Linked DNA regions of Tribolium castaneum. The protein of the gene in region 1 purifies or fractionates together with the protein of each later gene. This does not show direct contact. Links are inferred from orthologs where the notes say so. Each region holds a gene or a part of one and is shown on either strand. Other genes may lie near its edges.

Region 1 (3,771 bases):
GGAACATTTTCTGGCTGTTTGACTTCGACCACTGATACACCAGAGCGTTAGTTTCCGTAACATCCTTCAGTTCGTCAAAAATGCGATTTTCTGTTGTGTAATCAGCAGCGACGCAATCGTCACTGTCTTGTTCGATATCGGGGAAAAATTCCTTCAAAATTGCTTCGCTTTTTTCAAGAGCATTTTTCACGTCAATCTCGGGAAGAGTCGACTTTTCGCAACTTTGCGAAAAATCGCCGAATTCTGACGATTCAAAATCGCCGAAATCGTCATCTTCTTTACTCTGTTGCGGAGGTTCAACAAAATCGTCGAATTCGTCGTCTGATGCCTCCTTATCGTTACTAAAATGGTTTTCAAAGTCGCCGAAATCGTCTTCAGTTGATTTTTGTTCACTTTCAGACACTTTGAGACTGACTGAGGACTCGCTCAGATCGTTCTCACATTTGTCGTTAATCTCTTCAGAGAAGTAATCCTCAGATTTAATCTCATTACTTTCAGAAATGTCATTTGTCTTTTCACTAAAAGCCTCAAATAGATTTTCGTCATTGCTGAGGCTATTTACTCCATTTTCTACTTGAGTTTCATTTGGTAGAGTACATTGAAGATCAGCGAAATCATCATCTTCAATTTTTTGGTCATTAAAGTCGGCCTCAAAGCCATTTATTTCATCAATTTGTTCACTAGAATTGACTTTGATCTCAGCATCTAAGCTTTTTCTCCTGTCTTGAAAATCTTTACTGACTTCCTCACACACTACGGAGTCTTCTACGTTCTCAGTTGGCATTTCTTGTGTGTTTTTTTGGCTCTTGTTGCTATTTATATCTAAACTGACTTTGGAAAGGTCGGTTTTCAGTTCTGAGGATTTTTGTGGTGAAGGTGGTAAAGAGAAATCTATGATTTATTGTTATTATAATTGAAAAGAGGGCAACAAAATTTACCATCACAGTCAAACGAATCAGCAGCGGCCCGAAAATCCCCAAATTCGTCGTCGTCATCCTCGTCAAGTGGTCCTACAATTGGAGGTGGTGAACTGCTCAAAAGCGGCGGAATCAAATTCGACATCTGCGAAGATGCAATTATTGCTAAATCTAATTACAACACCGACCTTGAATATTACAATAAACGTGATGCAAAATAATTAACTACCTGAATGAGAAATGATGGAAAATATGTCACCTGTGTTGAATAATAAAACAACCAAATTTATGTTTCTCGAACACTCTTAAATTAACAACGACCAACCACCAAGCACCGCACAATTTGCAATCAGTTGGAACGTCCTGGCTGTTAGTTATTCACTTTAAGACGCAAATTTATTTTTTTAACACAAATGACAACCAGCCATTTTGACGTTACTAATTACATGTCATTGTCAAATGTGGGGATTTTTGTTTTTAGATCGTTGAGATTGGCATTATACTTATTTTTTTAATTATTTTATTTAATTTAATTTTTTTTTTACATTAATTTAAACATTATTCTAATGTAAATTGTACTGAAATATAAAATAACATAAAAACTTCTAGTGTGAATGCATTTCTTTTAAATCAAATAGAAAAAGTCAAATTCCGCGCCAATTATGTGACGTAAAAACTTCAAGGTTAATTCAAGTTACGACTTGTTTATTTTTTATTACAATTTTTAGAATAAATCTTCTACACAGTCGAATTTTGCAATGTTTGTGGAAGTTCAAAGACTAGGCGAAGAAGAAATTTTAAATAGATTTCCCTTGGGGGCCCATGTTTTAGGGCGCGGTCCTGCTTTACAGGTAATGACACTAGCCTTGCCCTAAAATTTTGCTAAATCTATAAATTTCAGTGCAACGACAAGCGAGTATCACGAAATCACGCAACTTTGGAAGTTACACCAGATCACGTTAAACTCACTTCTGTATGGCCTTTTGATTGCGTTTTAACTTTGATTGTTTACAAACTAATTGCAGATACATGTCAATCCTTGTTTTCTCAAAGCCGCAGAAAGCAAAACTCTAACCATTCTCAAAAAAGATACAAGCACGCAACTGAATGATGGTGACAGTTTTGCGTTTCTTGCTGAAGATCACTGGTTTAAAATCAACATTGTCCATGAAGATTTAAATGAAGAAAGGGCTGATAATGGTGCAATTAAAAGTGAGGCGGTGGTCAAACGGCCACATGAAAGTCCGGAAGAGGAAATACCACCAGAAAAAAAGATCAAAATTGAAGAAGGTGAAACTAATGAAGAAGTTCCACCAAATCCAGAGATTAATATTGGAGAAAATGAAGAAATAAAAATGGAAATAACGAGTGAATTAGATATAACTGACTCAGAAATAAAAGTCGAACCGTCAACTTCCATTCAAGATGAAGAAATCTCGACTAACGTTCCTGAAAATGAAGAACAAGGGTCTGAAGAAATGAAGAAAGAAGATCCAGATGGTGAAAATCCCGGCACTTCAATCCCGAAACCACGGCGTGAGCGTTGCTGGTATGCAGCCCAGTGCTACCGAAAAAACCCCGTTCACAGACAAGACTTCACCCATCCTGGTGACTCAGACTTTGAGAGTGACCCAGAAGACAACAGACCCTTTTGCACTTACGGCGCCTCTTGTTACAGAAAAAATAAGCAACACAGAAGAGACTTCAAACATCCACTACAACAAGCCCCAGTGAAAAGTAAGAATGTTTGCTGTAATTTATGTATATATTGTAACAAAAAGCCAAAAGATGGTTATGAAGAGTAATAAACATTTTTTATTAATTGGTTTGTTTTATTGGACAGAAAAACGGTCCCGAAAGAAGGTTCAGCGTTTAAATGTGGCCGATAGTCAGGAAATGCGCGAGTTGGATTCCGAGTCTGAGGACGATCCATTTGTTGTTAGTGATGATAGCGAAGAATATGAGGGAGAGTCAGATGATGATGACACAGATTGGGAAGACTCGCAAAATGCGGATGAGGACAGCGAAAATGTTAAGAGACTGGTCAAGGAAGCGAAAAAATTTGTAAATAAATAAATAGTTTCAATAAAATATATATATTTTTTTAACTGTATGAGTTTAAATTTATGCGCCTCTTCTAATAACAAGCACTTGCAATTCGTGCGTAGTTACCTTCTAAAAATGCAGTGGGTCAAATTAATCGTCAATAACTTTGTAGTGTAAGCATTAACAAGAACCAGCTGATCGCCTGTATTATTCACAATTTGACAGATCAACACTGGTTTATAGGTTAGGTCACAAGTGGGGCTAAAAATGCAAAATTTTGCGGCTTAATAACATGGCAAGCCCTGAAAGTGGCGACATGGCACAGTTCGGCGAAATCGACAAGTCCCGCGACCGCTACCCTTGCTGCATAGTCTGGACCCCAATCCCGTTCCTGACCTGGCTTTTCCCCATTATTGGGCACATGGGGATAGCCCTGTCCTCGGGGGTTATCCGGGATTTTGCCGGCCCTTACTACGTTTCCGAAGACGACATGGCCTTCGGCCGCCCTACTAAGTACTGGCAGCTGAAACCGTCACTGGCACACGGGGGAATTTCCGGCTGGGACCGTGCAGTTACTGAAGCTTCAGAAATTTATAGCGGACGTATGCACAATTTATGCTGCGATAATTGTCACTCTCACGTTGCCACCGCGCTTAATCTGATGCAATATGATGATTCGAAAAGTTGGAATATGGTGAAATTGGCATTTTTTATGTTGTTGTACTCAAAGTATGTTAGTTTTGCTGGGTTTGTTAAGACATGGCTGCCGTTTTTGATTCTGGTTACTTTAATAGTGTGTGCGTGCGTT
Region 2 (4,305 bases), on another chromosome or scaffold:
AAATCGTCCACTTCAAAGAGGCTCAAGGTGCTTTTTTTCGCCGGTTTACACTCGGCGTTTTCTTCGAAGAAATGTTGGATGGTCTGGCCCACATCGCCCTGTTCCAAGTGAGCAGTCATTGTTTCTTCACTAACCGCGAAAATCTTGCTAAATATTTTAATCAGTTGCTTGGTCTGCAAGTGAAACACGCGTTTGTTCACCGCAGGGAGGAGCAGTTTGCACCAGAGAACGACATCGCCCTTAAAACCGCTCCCGTCGCAACCTTTCGTGAAAATCTCGCGGAAAATGCTGATTTTTTCGTTGGAACTTGACACCTTCGGGAGCTTCGACACGATCCTGCGAAACTCGCGGAAACAATTATCCTTGTGAACCTCCTCAGTCGTGCAATTATCAGATAAATTACTCAAATTGTCGTCGACGACAAGCTGCGGCTGCGGCTTGGTCCCCTTTTTCGGTCTTTTTTTACTAAACTTGGCTTCAAATTCCCGGTTACATTGCGAGATCTTTTCCAAGATATTCACTTTATCGTCGGGGTCGAGTGACTCCCAGCCGTCGATGTCCAGGGGGCCCTCGATTCTTTTAGTTGTTTGTCTCTGTTTTAAAAATGTTTCAAAGATACAGCTTACGTGGTACCAAGTTTTCATTTTACCGGAACCCAGAGGGTTCGGGATTAATTTAGCAATGCGCAAATCGCCTTGAACGCACTTCTGGCGGCATTTTTTGCAAAGGGCGCGCCCTTGCCTGGCCACCTCCACGGCGAAGGGCTTCTCCTCCATCTGGAAGTTAAACTATGTAAGACTCACACAAAAAGGCAACAAACACGCATTCCCATTAAGGGCCGGTTTATACAAAGCTTTGTTAAAATTTAATTCGTTGTTAAAGTTAACAACACAAATGGACCAATCAAATTTGTTCAATTTGGTCACGTGATCAGTTAATCACGCTTTTAATTGCAGATTAAATTAATGACACTTCTATACACCGGTCCTTAATAAGCGGCAAAAAATTATTCAAATATTAAGGATAAACAAATTTTAGTATATTTAAGCTCGCCCAGGTGGCAGGTTATGTCCAATGATAACAGAAATGATAAAGATAGGTATTGAAAATAAATTGTTGTAGGGAGAATGATTTGTTATTTCAATAAAGTATTGTTTAATGGTTAAATGAGTCGTTTTAATTATAAAATACCTTTCTTTTTCCTCAAAAACTGGCAACAACACTAACAGCTGATCAGTTCAACGGTTACACGTTACCCACTGTACAAACCTATTTATTTATTTTATTTTAGCGAAACAATAAAGTTTACGTCTTTGCCTTGCATTTGATTTAATTCTTCCAGGTCTTTTTTCTGCACTGAAGGTATAAGTTTATCAAAAATTGAGTATAGTGTGTTACATAACCTCACTTTTAGATGTCAGATGAGCTTGTTGAAAAGCCTTTTCTGGTGGAAGTCGCAAAGCAGGGGCGTGCTGTTTGTAAAAAATGCAAGCAGAAGTGTGCCCAGGGCGAGTTGCGCATTGCCAAATTGGTTGCCAACCCCTTTGGAGAAGGAAAAATGAAAAACTGGCATCATGTCAATTGCCTTTTCGAAGTTTTCTTGAAGCAGAGACCCACAACTAAACGAATTGATGACCCTGTTGAGGATATCGACGGCTGGGTGTTGCTAGATGACGAGCAAAAGAGCGATATTTTGAAGCGTGTCGAGGAATGTAACAGTTTTTTTGAAACTAAACATGGGGTTAAGCCTAGTCCGAAGAAAACGCCTCAGGAGGCAAAACCCAGTACTAGTAGTAAAGACAGTTCGGGTCCAGTTATCCAGTTTGATCCGTCACACAAGGACAATCAATTTCGGGAATTCCGGAGAGTTGTGGCCGATATTAGCAACGTCAGTAGTTATCTTGAAAAGACAAGTATTGTGAGTAAAATGTTCACAAAAGGGAGCGACGGGACGGGCTTTAAGGGCGATATCGTCCTTTGGTGCCGCTTGCTCCTCCCTGGTTTCGTCAAACGCATCTACAACCTCCAAAGCAAACAGTTGGTTAAGTTATTTAGCAAGATTTTCCATTGCGATCAAGACGCAATGTTGGAGCATTTGGAACAGGGGGATGTCAGTGAGACGATTCAGGTCTTCTACGAGAGGAGTAAATCGTTTAAACCGGTCAAGAAAAGTACCCTAACCCTCCAACAAGTGGATGAGTTCCTTCAAGACCTCACTAACTTGACCAAAGAAGAGGAACAAACAGCACATTTGAAAACTTTTGCGTCCAAATGCACCGCAAATGACCTAAAAATCGTCATTCGATTGATCAAACACGATCTTCGGATGAACGCAGGGGCGAAACATATTCTGGATGGGGTACATCCTGACGCTTATCAAGCCTTCCAGTCTTCGAGGGATATCAAGGCTGTTATTGATCGTTGCTTGAAAGACAAGGGCACCAAAGCCAGAATCGAGCTAATGACCCCGGTACTACCCATGCTTGCGGAAGCCTGCAAATCGGTGGAGCAAGCCATGAAGAAGTGCCCCAACGGAATGTACTCCGAGATTAAATACGACGGTGAGAGGGTACAAGTGCACAAACAAGGCTCCGAATTTAAGTACTTTTCGAGGAGTTTAAAGCCGGTATTGCCACACAAAGTCGCACATTTTAAAAACTATATCCCTCAGGCGTTTCCGCACGGAACGGATTTGATCCTTGATAGTGAAATCCTAATGATTGATACACAAACTGGTAAGCCGCTCCCGTTTGGTACTTTGGGGATCCACAAAAAATCCGAGTTTAAAGACGCCAGTGTGTGTCTTTTTGTCTTCGATTGTATTTACTACAATGGGGATGTCCTCACCGATAAACCCATCTCGTTCAGGAAGAAGATCCTGAAAGAGAATATGACGGAAATCCCCAACCATATAGTCTTCTCAGAGATGGAGGAAATCCACGATCCGAACGATTTGACTCAAATGATCGCCAAAGTGCTCAAGCTCGGGCTTGAGGGCTTGGTGCTCAAAGACATAACGAGTGTTTATGAGCCGGGCAAGCGACATTGGCTCAAAGTCAAAAAGGATTACCTTTTTGGGGGCGCGATGGCCGACAGTGCCGATTTAATAGTCCTAGGTGCGTGGTACGGTACTGGGAAAAAAGGGGGCATCATGTCGATTTTCCTAATGGGTTGCTACGACGAAGCCAATGATCGGTTTTGCACCGTGTCAAAGGTGTCAACCGGACACGATGATAAAACCCTCGAGAAGTTGCAAACAGAGCTTGATATGGTCAAAATCAGCTCGGATCCAGCCAAGGTACCCGATTGGTTGCATTGTACCAAAACAATGGTTCCCGATTTCGTGGCACGGGACCCGAAAAAACAACCCGTTTGGGAGATAACCGGAGCGGAATTCACCAAACACGAGGTGCATACGGCTGATGGTATCTCGATAAGGTTCCCTCGGGTTACGAAAATAAGGGACGATAAGTGTTGGCAGTCAGCAACTTCGCTCAAAGAACTCAAAGTATTGTTTGCCAAATCGAAGGAACATACCGATGTTAGTTTACTTCTACAAGGGACGGCTGAATCTTCGCCTAAGAAACAGAAAACTTTGGAAAGCTTTGTCAAAAAAAGGGGTTCAGAGGATCCGCAATCGTCAAACTCTAAGAAAGTTAAAAAGGAACCGAAAACTGTAAAAATAATAAATCCACTACCGGACTATTTTCACAATATTAAGGTAGTGTTGGAAGACAAAGTGAGAGAAAAACAGTGGGATTTGATTAGGTACTTTATTGCGTACGGTGGCCAAATTTGTAAACATGGAGAATCGGAAAATGCCACTCATATGATACATTTGAACAGTATGGTACCTGAAATTGATCAGTGTAACCCGGACGTTAAACATGTTACCGTTGATTGGATTAAAAACTGTGTGGTTAATGAAAGTGTGTGTGATTATAGACCGTTTGTTGTACGCTGGAAGCCCAGTTAATTATTTATTGAATAAAATCTTCCTGAACAGATATTTGGTTATTTATCTTCGCAAAAATTATATTATATACAAAATGTTCCGTTTAAACCCCACATTAGAAGTATTGGAAGTTCTAAAAAAGATAGGCATCTGAAAATTTGTGTACAATTATAATCTTTTAGGTCCTGCTCCATGAAAATATTTTCAAGATGGCAGGCAGCACTTCCGGTTATATCGGAAGTCGCTATCAACTTCCTTATTTTAAATGAAAAGCTATACTGTTTAATGGGTTTTTGAATTACTAGAATTATTTTAAGGTAGATTTTATAAGCTTTCCTTATACCTAAATT

Evidence for each region.
Region 2: the proteins of aprataxin and PNK-like factor (region 1) and DNAlig3 purify together in Homo sapiens (affinity purification with mass spectrometry; 3 studies listed by BioGRID and IntAct, counting the BioPlex papers as one, with this or other methods). This does not show direct contact. The link is inferred for Tribolium castaneum from reciprocal best matches to the Homo sapiens genes APLF and LIG3.

The regions. Positions count from the first base shown.
Region 1 is NC_087396.1:16,125,854-16,129,624, forward strand, and holds aprataxin and PNK-like factor, read left to right. Parts: upstream 1-1,561; 5' UTR 1,562-1,675; coding exon 1,676-1,768; intron 1,769-1,818; coding exon 1,819-1,890; intron 1,891-1,942; coding exon 1,943-2,654; intron 2,655-2,760; coding exon 2,761-2,993; 3' UTR 2,994-3,025; downstream 3,026-3,771. Other genes in the region: Afti (proteoglycan 4), read right to left, coding at 1-891, 939-1,062; transmembrane protein 222, read left to right, coding at 3,256-3,771. UniProt on the Homo sapiens protein: Histone chaperone involved in single-strand and double-strand DNA break repair.
Region 2 is NC_087397.1:11,971,776-11,976,080, reverse strand, and holds DNAlig3 (DNA ligase 3), read left to right. Parts: upstream 1-1,227; 5' UTR 1,228-1,362; intron 1,363-1,408; exon of another isoform or gene 1,409-1,414; coding exon 1,415-3,976; 3' UTR 3,977-4,007; downstream 4,008-4,305. Other genes in the region: DNA ligase 3, read right to left, coding at 1-776. UniProt on the Homo sapiens protein: Isoform 3 functions as a heterodimer with DNA-repair protein XRCC1 in the nucleus and can correct defective DNA strand-break repair and sister chromatid exchange following treatment with ionizing radiation and alkylating agents.